Macaca mulatta: one gene and its partners. The main gene of each other region encodes a partner of the protein of the gene in region 3 in a complex. Links are inferred from orthologs where the notes say so. Each region holds a gene or a part of one and is shown on either strand. Other genes may lie near its edges.

Region 1 (3,367 bases), about 2.0 Mb from region 3:
CTTGTGATCCGCCCGCCTCAGCCTCCCAAAGTGCTGGGATTACAGGCGTGAGCCACCGCGCCCGGCCATCTGTGCCCATTTTTACAAATAAGGAAACCACCCCGAAGAGGTTGTGAGGCCCAATGTCACATGGTTAAAGGCTAGACACTGCAAGTTTCCTTTCGTAAGAAGATCCAAGGGCTTCTCCAGCTCCTCAGACTCAGGAGTCAGACCACTGTGCTTTCTCTTATTTGCACTGCCTCACTGTTCTTCAAAACTTTCCTTGTTTAGCCAGGTGTGGTGGCTCATGCCTGTAATCGCAAGATTTTGGGAAGCTGAGGTGGGAGGATTGCTTGAGGCCAGGAGTTCTAGACCAGCCTAGGCAACATGGCAAGACCTTATCTCTAGAAAAATAAAAAAAAACAAAAAATTAGTCAGGAATGGTGACACATGCCTGTAGTCCTACCTACCCAGGAGGCTGAGGCCTGATGATTGCTTGAGCCCAGGAGTTTGAGGTTACAGTGAGCCATGACTGCGCCATTGCACTCTAGCCTGGGTGACAGAGACCCTGTCTAGAAACAAACAAACTTTTGTCTGTTTTCTACAGCAATCTCAGCCTCCTTTCCTCTTTTTCTTTTCTTTTTTTTTTTGAGATAGGGTTTTGCTTTGTCATCCAGGCTGGGGTGTGGTGGCACACCCGGCTAATTTTTGTATTTTTGTTGTTGTTGTTGAGATGGGGTTTCGCCATGTTGCTCAAGCTGTTCTTGAACTCCTGGGCTCAAGTGATCCGCCTCCCTTAGCCTCCCAGAGTGCTGGGATTGCAGGCATGAGCCACCATGCCCAGCCTCCACATCTTTTTTTGCACTGTGTATACTCTTCTGAGACATGCCAACTTTTTCCACGTCAAGAAAAGGGTATATAGCTCTCAGCTTCACTCTTTCAGGGCTGATGTCACCTTTGCCTTTTCCCACTTCACTGACCTGTCTATTCCTGCAACTGTCTCTTTCTAGAGAAACCTCAATGATCAGGACTGATAGGCCACACTCTCCCCTACCATTTTTTTCTCCTTCTTCAAGCCTCTTGTCTGTTTTACCCTCTTCCACCTTGGAGGCTGAGGTCTTATTTGACTCTTCACCTGAATTGACCTTCTTCCTTCCCACCCTCCCAGGTTCGGACTAAGGATCACCGCTTTGAGAGTGTCAGTCACCTCATCAGCTACCATATGGACAATCACTTGCCCATCATCTCTGCGGGCAGCGAACTGTGTCTACAGCAACCTGTGGAGCGGAAACTGTGATCTGCCCCAGACCTCTCTTCCAGAAGATGCCCTCCAATCCCTTCCACCCTATTCCCTAACTCTTGGGACCTCATTTGGGAGTGTTCTGCGGGCTTGGCCTTGTGTCAGAGCTGGGAGTAGTGTGGACTCTGGGTTTCATATCCAGCTGAGTGAGGGTTTGAGGGTTTGAGTCAGAAGCCTGGGGGAGAATCCTGCCTCTCCCCAAACATTGATCACCAAAGTATTAATGTACAGAGTGGCCCTTCACCTGGGCCTTTCCTGTGCCAACCTGATGCCCCTTCCCCAAGAAAGTGAGTGGTTGTCATGGAAAATGTCCTGTGGTGACAGGCCCAGTGGAACAGTCACCCTTTTGGGCAAGGGGGAACAAATCACACTTCTGTGCTTCAGGGTATCCCAGACCCTTCTCAACACCCCCACCCCACCATGTTTAAACTTTGTGCCTTTGACCATCTCTTAGGTCTGATGATATTTTATGCAGAGTTCTTGGGCCCCTGAGTTCAATGACAGGGATGCCAACACCTTCTTGGCTTCTGGGACCTGTCTTCTTGCTCAGCACTCTTTCCGGTTTGGTTTGGGATAACAGAGGCAGGAGTGGCAGCTGTCCCCTCTCCCTGGGGATATGCAACCCTTAGAGATTGCCCCAGAGCCCCCCTCCCGGCCAGGGGGGAGATGGATCCCTCCCTTGCTCAGTGCCTCCTGGCCGGGGCCCCTCACCCCAAGGGGTCTGTATATACATTTCGTAAGGCCTGCCCTCTCCCATGTTGCATGCCTATTGTACTCTACAGCCAAAGTGTAGCCCTTCCTGGAGCCTCTGCCCTGCCTCCCTTTCTGGCAGGGTGGGGTAGGGGTGACTGAATTTGGGCCTCTTGTACAGTTCACTCTCCCAGGTGGATTTTGTGGAGGTGGGAAAAAGGGCATTGAGACTCTTAAAGCAGTAGACAATCCCCAAATACCATCTGTAGAGTTGGAACTGCATTCTTTTAAAGTTTTATATGCATATATTTTAGGGCTGTAGACTTACTTTCCTATTTTGTTTTCCATGGCTTATTCTCGAGCACAAAATGGTAATCAATTATTACATTTATACATCACCTTTTTGACTTTTCCAAGCCCTTTTACAGCTGTTGGCATTTTCCTCGCCCAGGCCTGTGAGGTAACTGGGATCGCACCTTTTATACCAGACCTGAGGCAGATGAAATTTATTTCCATCTAGGACTAGAAAAACTTGGGTCTCTTACCGCGAGACTGAGAGGCAGAAGTCAGCTCGAATGCCTGTCAGTTTCATGGAGGGGAAACGCAAAACCTGCAGTTCCTGAGTACCTTCTACAGGCCCGGCCCAGCCTGGGCCCCTCTTTTGGCCTTGTGGATAAGGGACAGTTGACCGTTTTCATCCTGGACTCCTTTTGCTGTTGTTTGGATGTTTCCACGGGTCTCACTTATACCAAAGGGAAAACTCTTCATTAAAGTCCGTATTTCTTCTACCTCTGCCTCTTAATCCTGGGAAGCCTATTGTGTACGCCGCGGGCCCTTAGCTGCACAGCGGGGAGGCGGGAGGTCGCGGCCGCCGAGGGAAGCTAGGGGGTCTGCGGAGTTTGGGCGCGGCAGAGTGGGGCGTGTCGCGCCACCGTCCCCATGAAGATGTTGTGTCCGGGGGGCGGGGGCTGGCTCCGGGTGCGTCCAGGCAAGAACCCGGACTCCCCGGCGCCGCAACGCCGGCCCCCGGGACTACCTAGACCTCCCAGGCGCGCCCTCGGCTCGCGCGCGCCCCTCCGCGGTGGCTCCACCGCCCGGGATGGTACGGTCCGGCAGCAGGGCCGCGCGCCGCCGCCCCTCGGTGAGCTGGTGTGGGCCGCCGCTAGCGGAAACGACCCTCTCCACTCGCGTGGTGCAGTGGTAAGCCTCGCCCCTCGCCTGCCGCCTGTTTTCTGGCGTGGGGTCTCGTCCGGTCCTTGCTCCCCCTCCCCGCCGCGCTTAGTGGTGGTGGCCGCGCCGAGTTCCGGTTCCGGTTGCTGCAGCCGCTGGCTGGCGGCGAGTGTGGAGAGAGCGCGCAGTTCGCGCCGCGGCTGGGCGCTTCCCTGTCGTCCCACTTTG
Region 2 (3,234 bases), about 15 Mb from region 3:
GGCTTTGAAGGAGGTCTGAGAGAGGTAAACCCAGCAGTAGAAAACACAAAAGACAAAGTCCTTGACACAAGAAGACGGAAATAACTCATAATTTACACAAATTTTGTGAGAACCTACTTCATCCTAACAATGACTCTGGGAAATAGTGTTTCTTGCCCACCTCCGATCAATGAGAACACTAAGGCTCTGGGAAATTAAATGGGTTTCTTCTGCTAACAAGTAGTGGAGTAGGAATCCAAACAAGGTTTTCTAACCCCCAGACCCAATGCAGAATTCTTGTCATTGCACTGATTTAGTAGAAGAGAACACACCACACACACACACACACACACACACACGCACACACACATATGCACATACAATTATGCTATTCTGAAGTGCAGAATGGAAAGATATCATTTTTGGTTAGAGTGGTCTGAAAAGGCTTCGAGGACTAGGTGGTATCTGTGTGGAAAGGAAGTAGAATGATCCATGAGAGTGGGAAGGAGAGATGGGAGAAAGGATAGAATTGGAAGTTTGCAGAACACTCTTACAGGAGATATTTCTAATCCAACCAAGAAGATCTATGGAAGCTTTACAGAGGAGCTGATGTTTGCTACACATCTACAAGTATGCACAGGAGAGCCACAGAGGCCAGTGAGAGGCCCTCTAGGAGAACTAATTCTACAACTACTTGACCAAGTGGGGGGATTATTTGTGGGGTAACTGCAGTGCAGTACAGAGTCCTCTTGGGGACAGATAGATCCATACCATTTGATCTATAGTCACATAAGAACAAATAATAAAAAGAAAAGACATGTTTAAGAGTGAAAGAGAAAGGCAGGGAGAAAAGAAGGAAGGGTGGATGGAAGGACAGACTGGCTTAGTAAGGGGTCGACTTTGGATTCTATTTCTGGTTCAGTTTTCATTTATGACTTCAATGCTTTAGTGTTAGTTCATTTTCTGTGAATCAGTTTCCTTATATGTGAAATAAATATGATAAATCCTAATCGAACTCACAGACTCATGAGAAGATAGAAGTGAAAACATTTTAAAAACATTACACAAAGAGGAACTATTATGTGGTCCACAGTTATATATGTGGGGTAGTGTCTGAAGAGGTGCCTGGACTAAGTTGGTCCCAGAGCCACAAGGTTTTTGCCAAACATGATGCTCTGTGAATTCATAACAAGGGCTCCGAGTCACCAGATCTTAGAGCTGACCCAGTGCACTGTCTGAAAGGGGGTACCCAGTGCTGAGGCTTCAAGACATGTCCCCAGCAGATCTCCCCAGTGCCTTCCCAGAGGATTCAGAACTGCTGAGCAGGACAGCACCATCACATCAAGGCACAAGTGCCAGGGAGAGGTGTCAAACTCTCCCCACCGGCCTCCCTGGTACACACATGGACACTTACCACCTCCCTCAGCCTCCTTAAGTGTCAGAGAACTCAAAGGATTCTGTTTGATATTTCCAAGCTCATACTGAACTACTGGGCAAAATTCCAGGGGCTCTGTCCCTTCCTGGAGAAGCCTGGATGGGGAGACCACACATCCATACTGCCTGAGTCAGCCCGGCTTATGCCTGTTGTCCCAGTGTAACCATTGCTAGCACACCCTTTCCCTCTCAGAAATGCCCCAGTTTGAATGAAATCTCTTTGTGATCCCCGTGGGAGGTCAACTCTGAGGGACCCAGAAACTGCCTTTTGACTGCATTTAGTACTCCATGGAGTCACCCTCATTTCTTTTTCATTCCAGGTGCATAGCGTAATGTCCATGTTGTTCTACACTCTGATCACAGCTTTTCTGATCGGCATACAGGCAGAACCACACTCAGAGAGCAATGTCCCTGCAGGACACACCATCCCCCAAGCCCACTGGACTAAACTTCAGCATTCCCTTGACACGGCCCTTCGCAGAGTCCGCAGCGCCCCGGCAGTGGCGATAGCTGCACGAGTGGCAGGGCAGACCCGCAACATTACTGTGGACCCCAGGCTGTTTAAAAAGCGGCGACTCCGTTCACCCCGTGTGCTGTTTAGCACTCAGCCCCCACCTGAAGCTGCAGACACTCAGGATCTGGACTTTGAGGTCGGTGGTGCTGCCCCCTTCAACAGGACTCACAGGAGCAAGCGGTCATCGTCCCACCCCATCTTCCACAGGGGCGAGTTCTCGGTGTGTGACAGTGTCAGCGTGTGGGTTGGGGATAAGACCACCGCCACAGACATCAAGGGCAAGGAGGTGATGGTGTTGGGAGAGGTGAACATTAACAACAGTGTATTCAAACAGTACTTTTTTGAGACCAAGTGCCGGGACCCAAATCCCGTTGACAGCGGGTGCCGGGGCATTGACTCAAAGCATTGGAACTCATATTGTACCACGACTCACACCTTTGTCAAGGCGCTGACCATGGATGGCAAGCAGGCTGCCTGGCGATTTATCCGGATCGACACGGCCTGTGTGTGTGTGCTCAGCAGGAAGGCTGTGAGAAGAGCCTGACCTGCCGACACGCTCCCTCCCCTGCCCCTTCCACACTCTCCTGGGCCCCTCCCTACCTCAACCTGTAAATTATTTTAAATTATAAGGACTGCATGGTAATTTATAGTTTATACAGTTTTAAAGAATCATTATTTATTAAATTTTTGGAAGCATCCTGTGTGCTGACACTGGTTATTTTTCCCAGTAAAATCATCTGCAAGTCTCAGGAAGATGCAGGGGGAATTGTCCGAATTGTCCAAAGTACTCCCTGGCTCCTTCTAAGGCCCACCTGTAACCCTTACCCCACCCCCAGCCAGTGCTGCAACTTCAGAAAAGGCTAACTGGTTTCAGATATTAGAATAAGTCAGGCATGATTAGCAAAGGAAGCCTGCTGGATTGCAATTTTGTTCTACATTCCAGAGCCAAAGCTACCTAATCATTGGATTACCTGCCCACCGCCTGGAAGCATGGGCTCTGGTCTCCTCCCTTGGGGAAGTTAGTGGAGCCTCATCAGGAGGCAGATCACCACTGGGCACGGGGCTGCCCTGGCCTCAGAGGCACAGTCTCAGTTCTGGGGGCACTCGATAGATAGGACGAGGCTTGCACCAAAGATCTGTGCGCTGCTCATTTGTAGGGGAAGATGTGCCGTCTGGAAGAGTTGTAACAGAGTAATCTCATGAGGCCTGTCAAAGTAGATCTGGTTTCATGTTCAGCTGGCCTTAGTACTCATGGCCACTCCTCGGTTTATGCCTCAGCAGCCTCCTGCAGAAAGACTTCATTACCC
Region 3 (3,669 bases):
GGACTCACCCTCTACTGTATCCAGGCCAAATCCCAACGAGAGGAAGATCACAGGCAGGCATGCTCCCCAGGGCCACAGACTAGGCACTGCCATTGTCCCAGCCCTGGTTTGTGTCCAGTCCCGGCTCTCCTCCTGGTGACCCTGGGGAGAAGGATTTGACAAGCCCTAAGGGACACAGAGACCAGGGTTCAGATAGGAGAGGGAGGGCAGGGACAGAGAGACAAGGAATCCCACACAGAGAGAGCAGGAGACAGAAAAAAAGAAATGAGAGTCACAGAGACACAAAGACAGTGACAGGCAGCTGGAGACAGAGAGACTCAGCATGAGATTGAGAGATGGGGACAGAGATGCAGACAGTGACAGGGAGAGAGAGAAAATGACACAGGGTTCTGAGCAAAAGGCAGGCCGAGAGGCCAGCCAACCCTGAGGGCAGAGCAGAAGGCTGGGGACCGCTCCCAAGGAGGGCAGCGGGGGTCCCGGGACGCGTGGGACTCCACAGGGAGAGTCTCCCTGGATCCCTCTGGGCGCGCGGCCCCCCAGCGCCAGCTGACCGCGCTGACTGCGGTCTTTCCCAGGGCAGGCACGCAGGGGCCGCGCCCAGCTCCCGCCCTCCCCGCCCCCCGCCGAAACAGATTGGTTCGCAGGGACCTCTCCGTTCTCTCCGCCCCTCCAGCCAAGCCAAAATATTTAGCCTAACAACTGAGGGGAGGACATATCTGTTGGGGAAATAAGGCCAAAATACGGGGGGAAGGGTGGGCCAAGAACTGAGCTTCCTCAAATCCCGCTGCGGCTGCAGCGGGTCCCCCCAATCCTTTGTCCCCACCACAAGCTTCTTCCAAGTGGGGCTGCGCCGCCGGAGGGGCAGCCAGCGCCCGGGCTTCTGGGGAGGACTGTGTCTAGATTCTGCTTCCCGGTGCTTTGACACCTGCCGGGTAACTTCTGGCAGCCTCGACCCGGGAGAACGTGGACAGCCTTTGGCCTCTCAGAGCCCCTCTCAGCCTCCCAGGAGGCCTCCCAGTCCTCTTTGGAGACCCCTTAGCGCCAGGCTCCGTCACCGCCTAGTCCCTTGGTTCTGACCAATATCCCGATGAAGAAGGCGATCACTGTGTGGGGCTCTGCCTCCGTCTGGTCATCTTCTTGAACTCAGGCTGCTTGGTCGGTCAGTGTGTCCCTGTCTCGGGGATTTGGGGGACCATTCATGCTGGGGCCTTGGCGGAGAGGAGAACTGCCAGCCTCTAGGAGGCCATCCTTCGCCTGCTCCCTGGGGCTTTGCCTGTCTCCCTGCCAAGAGAGACCCCTCTTCCCCTCGCTCTCCTCAGCTTGAGACGGATGGGTTCGTGCAGCCACAGAGGCTTGCGCGGTGGGAGGGGTTGGGACCAGCCTTCTGCTGCCCTGGGTGCTGGGGATCCCGGGGCTTTCCAGGTGCGCGGCCACCAAGTTGCACGGTCCTCAGCTCCACCTGCGGGCGGCTCCCGCATCGGAGGAGCTAAGAGATCTATTAATTTCTTCACGAATAAATCGATGCTCTTGTCAGGGAGGCAGGCGATCGATGTCAGCCCGCCCTGCCTTACCCTATCCTGCCCCGGGGCCGGCGCTGGCTGGCCGGGGTCAGGGACTGAAGCTGAGACCTGAGGCGTTGCTGATTGGGGGCTGCAGATCGCACCCCCAGCCACCCAGCCCGGGCGGAGAGCTGGCTCCTTTGCGCGCGGGCTTCTCGCGCCACCCTGTGGCTTCTCTTGGAGGCGCGGTCTTGGCTCTCTGGACTCCCTTCGGCCGGATCAAGCGACCCTTCCCTTTCTCTGCCCGGTCTGTGTCTTCCTCCCCAGGTTCTGCGATTGATCTTTGGTAGTCCTTTTCTTTTCTTCCTAGAGTTCGGAGAATGTTCTACCTAACTTACTCCAAGTGACATGCGCACTCCCCCAGGCACGCGCGCGGTGAGGATGGAGCGCTGAGTCTGGGGCTGACTAGGATGACCTGGACAGCAACCTTTCCTCAACTCAGTTATCTTCCCTCCTCCCCAAATGTAAAAATACAGCTGCTTTAAGCTGAGAGAAATAACGTATCAACTTCCCACCCCCGGCCTCAGCAGACACCTCCGAGGCGTTCTGCTGCGGCCCCTCTGCATCTCCCGGAGCTGGGGGGATCCTCGGGGAGAAGGCTGACGCTGGGGACCCCTAACAGGAGAGGGGGCAGAGTTGGGGGCGTCAGAGGGGAGAGAAGGGGCTGGAGACGAGGGGCGGGGCGGGGCCGGGCGGGGGCGACTGGCTCCGCCCTTTCCTGGCGGCTGGGTCTTTAACACCGCCCAGCGCACATGTCGGCGGAGGCCTGGCAGCAGCAGCTGAGAGCGCACAGACGGCTGCCCCGCCGGAGCAAGGCGGGCGCCGCCGCGATGCTGCGAGGCGGACGGCGCGGGCAGCTCGGCTGGCACAGCTGGGCTGCGGGGCCGGGCAGCCTGCTGGCTTGGCTGATGTTGGCATCTGCGGGCGCCTCACCCTGCCCCGATGCCTGCTGCCCCCACGGCTCCTCGGGACTGCGATGCACACGGGATGGGGCCCTGGATAGCCTCCACCACCTGCCCGGCGCAGAGAACCTGACTGAGCTGTGAGTGTCCGGCGTGCGAGGGGGCGCGGGGACAGGCAGGAATTGCCATGCCCCGAGGGCGCGGACTCTCCGCTTGTTTGCTTGGTCAGGCAGGGCGAGTACAGCGGAAGGCTGGCACGACGCAGCCTTTGGCGGTGCACGGGCGTTCCTCCGCAGCCGCCGATGCCCTAGCAAGCTTTACGGTCACTGCCTGGATGTCCCCTAGTGTTCAGGGCAGCTGGGCCGCCGGCTTCAGGGAGATCGAGGGGAGAATCTCTGGGCACCAGGTCTGAGAGAGCCTAGCCGTCTAGAAGCCGCTTTCTTGAGCTCAGTCAGAGGCTCCTGCTCTGTCCAACAGAGAAAGGTGGTTACCAGCAGAGAAGTCCCCAGTTTGACACCCTTACTACCTTTTCCCTTTTCTAGGGAAAGGGGCAAGCCAGCCCCCACCCACTTCCTTGTTATGAGGAGGCAACCCCAGCTTTTCTCCTGGAATTGGGGATTGAGCTGGCTGGCATTGGTGGGAGGTGGTAAGGAGCTGGGTGGTTGAGCTCTCCTCTTTCCATTTTTACCATTCCTTTCCCCAGAACCCCTTGATTTGGATCTGGGAAATGGGACCCCCTCCTGGATTTTCTCTCCCCACTCCCATCTCCCTCTCCAATCCGGGGCGGGGAGTCAGGGCCCTTGCTGAGAGACCCTCCTCCCTTTGGTACACAAAGCTGGGAGGAATCTTCAGCATTCTGCAGGACTCTGACATTCTGCAGGAATTGGTTACAAAATACTGAAGTACTTTTCAGCAGCTGGTGAAACCTATGGGAGTATGCAGTGATGACTGGCCTGGAGGTACTCAGGCATCACATGGTGATGGCTGGAAAATACTTGAATATTACATATGGCTATCATGGCCAGCAAGACATCTAGAAGAGGGGAGGAACTGCGAGAAAATCCTCCTCCTGGGGCCTGGGGTTTACAGGGTGGACAAGGAACCCTGGCCCCATGCAGTGATGGGCTGGAAGGTATCAAGGTGAGGATCATCAATGTCTGGAAGTTACTTGAGCAGCTTGCACTAATTGGCACTGAGTTACTCGGGTA

What was found.
Region 1: the proteins of NTRK1 (region 3) and SHC1 are in contact, whole or in part, in an NMR structure (PDB 1SHC), measured with the Homo sapiens proteins. The link is inferred for Macaca mulatta from reciprocal best matches to the Homo sapiens genes NTRK1 and SHC1. Residues at the interface, in NP_002520.2 of Homo sapiens: His489, Ile490, Ile491, Glu492, Asn493, Pro494, Gln495, Tyr496, Phe497; in NP_892113.4 of Homo sapiens: Met176, Arg177, Ala178, Leu179, Ser259, Ile260, Ser261, Phe262, Ala263, Ser264, Gly265, Gly266, Lys279, Asn283, Arg285, Ile301, Ile304, Gly305, Phe308, Glu309, Phe312, Lys313, Gln314, Tyr315.
Region 2: the proteins of NTRK1 (region 3) and NGF are in contact, whole or in part, in a crystal structure (PDB 1WWW), measured with the Homo sapiens proteins. The link is inferred for Macaca mulatta from reciprocal best matches to the Homo sapiens genes NTRK1 and NGF. Residues at the interface, in NP_002520.2 of Homo sapiens: His291, Val294, Glu295, Met296, His297, Cys300, Pro302, Phe303, Ser304, Leu333, Glu334, His343, Gly344, Cys345, Arg347, Thr352, His353, Met379, Asp380, Pro382; in NP_001424474.1 of Homo sapiens: His125, Pro126, Ile127, Phe128, Arg130, Gly131, Glu132, Phe133, Ser134, Ser138, Ser140, Trp142, Tyr173, Phe175, Arg180.

What each region holds. Positions count from the first base shown.
Region 1 is NC_133406.1:112,039,222-112,042,588, forward strand, and holds the end of SHC1 (SHC-transforming protein 1), read left to right. Parts: intron 1-31; exon of another isoform or gene 32-410; intron 411-1,147; coding exon 1,148-1,276; 3' UTR 1,277-2,763; downstream 2,764-3,367. UniProt on the Homo sapiens protein: Signaling adapter that couples activated growth factor receptors to signaling pathways. Participates in a signaling cascade initiated by activated KIT and KITLG/SCF.
Region 2 is NC_133406.1:124,982,710-124,985,943, forward strand, and holds the end of NGF (beta-nerve growth factor), read left to right. Parts: intron 1-1,733; coding exon 1,734-2,471; 3' UTR 2,472-2,623; downstream 2,624-3,234. UniProt on the Homo sapiens protein: Nerve growth factor is important for the development and maintenance of the sympathetic and sensory nervous systems.
Region 3 is NC_133406.1:110,063,773-110,067,441, reverse strand, and holds the start of NTRK1 (high affinity nerve growth factor receptor), read left to right. Parts: upstream 1-808; 5' UTR 809-2,311; coding exon 2,312-2,601; intron 2,602-3,669. Other genes in the region: INSRR (insulin receptor-related protein), read right to left, coding at 9-93. UniProt on the Homo sapiens protein: Receptor tyrosine kinase involved in the development and the maturation of the central and peripheral nervous systems through regulation of proliferation, differentiation and survival of sympathetic and nervous neurons.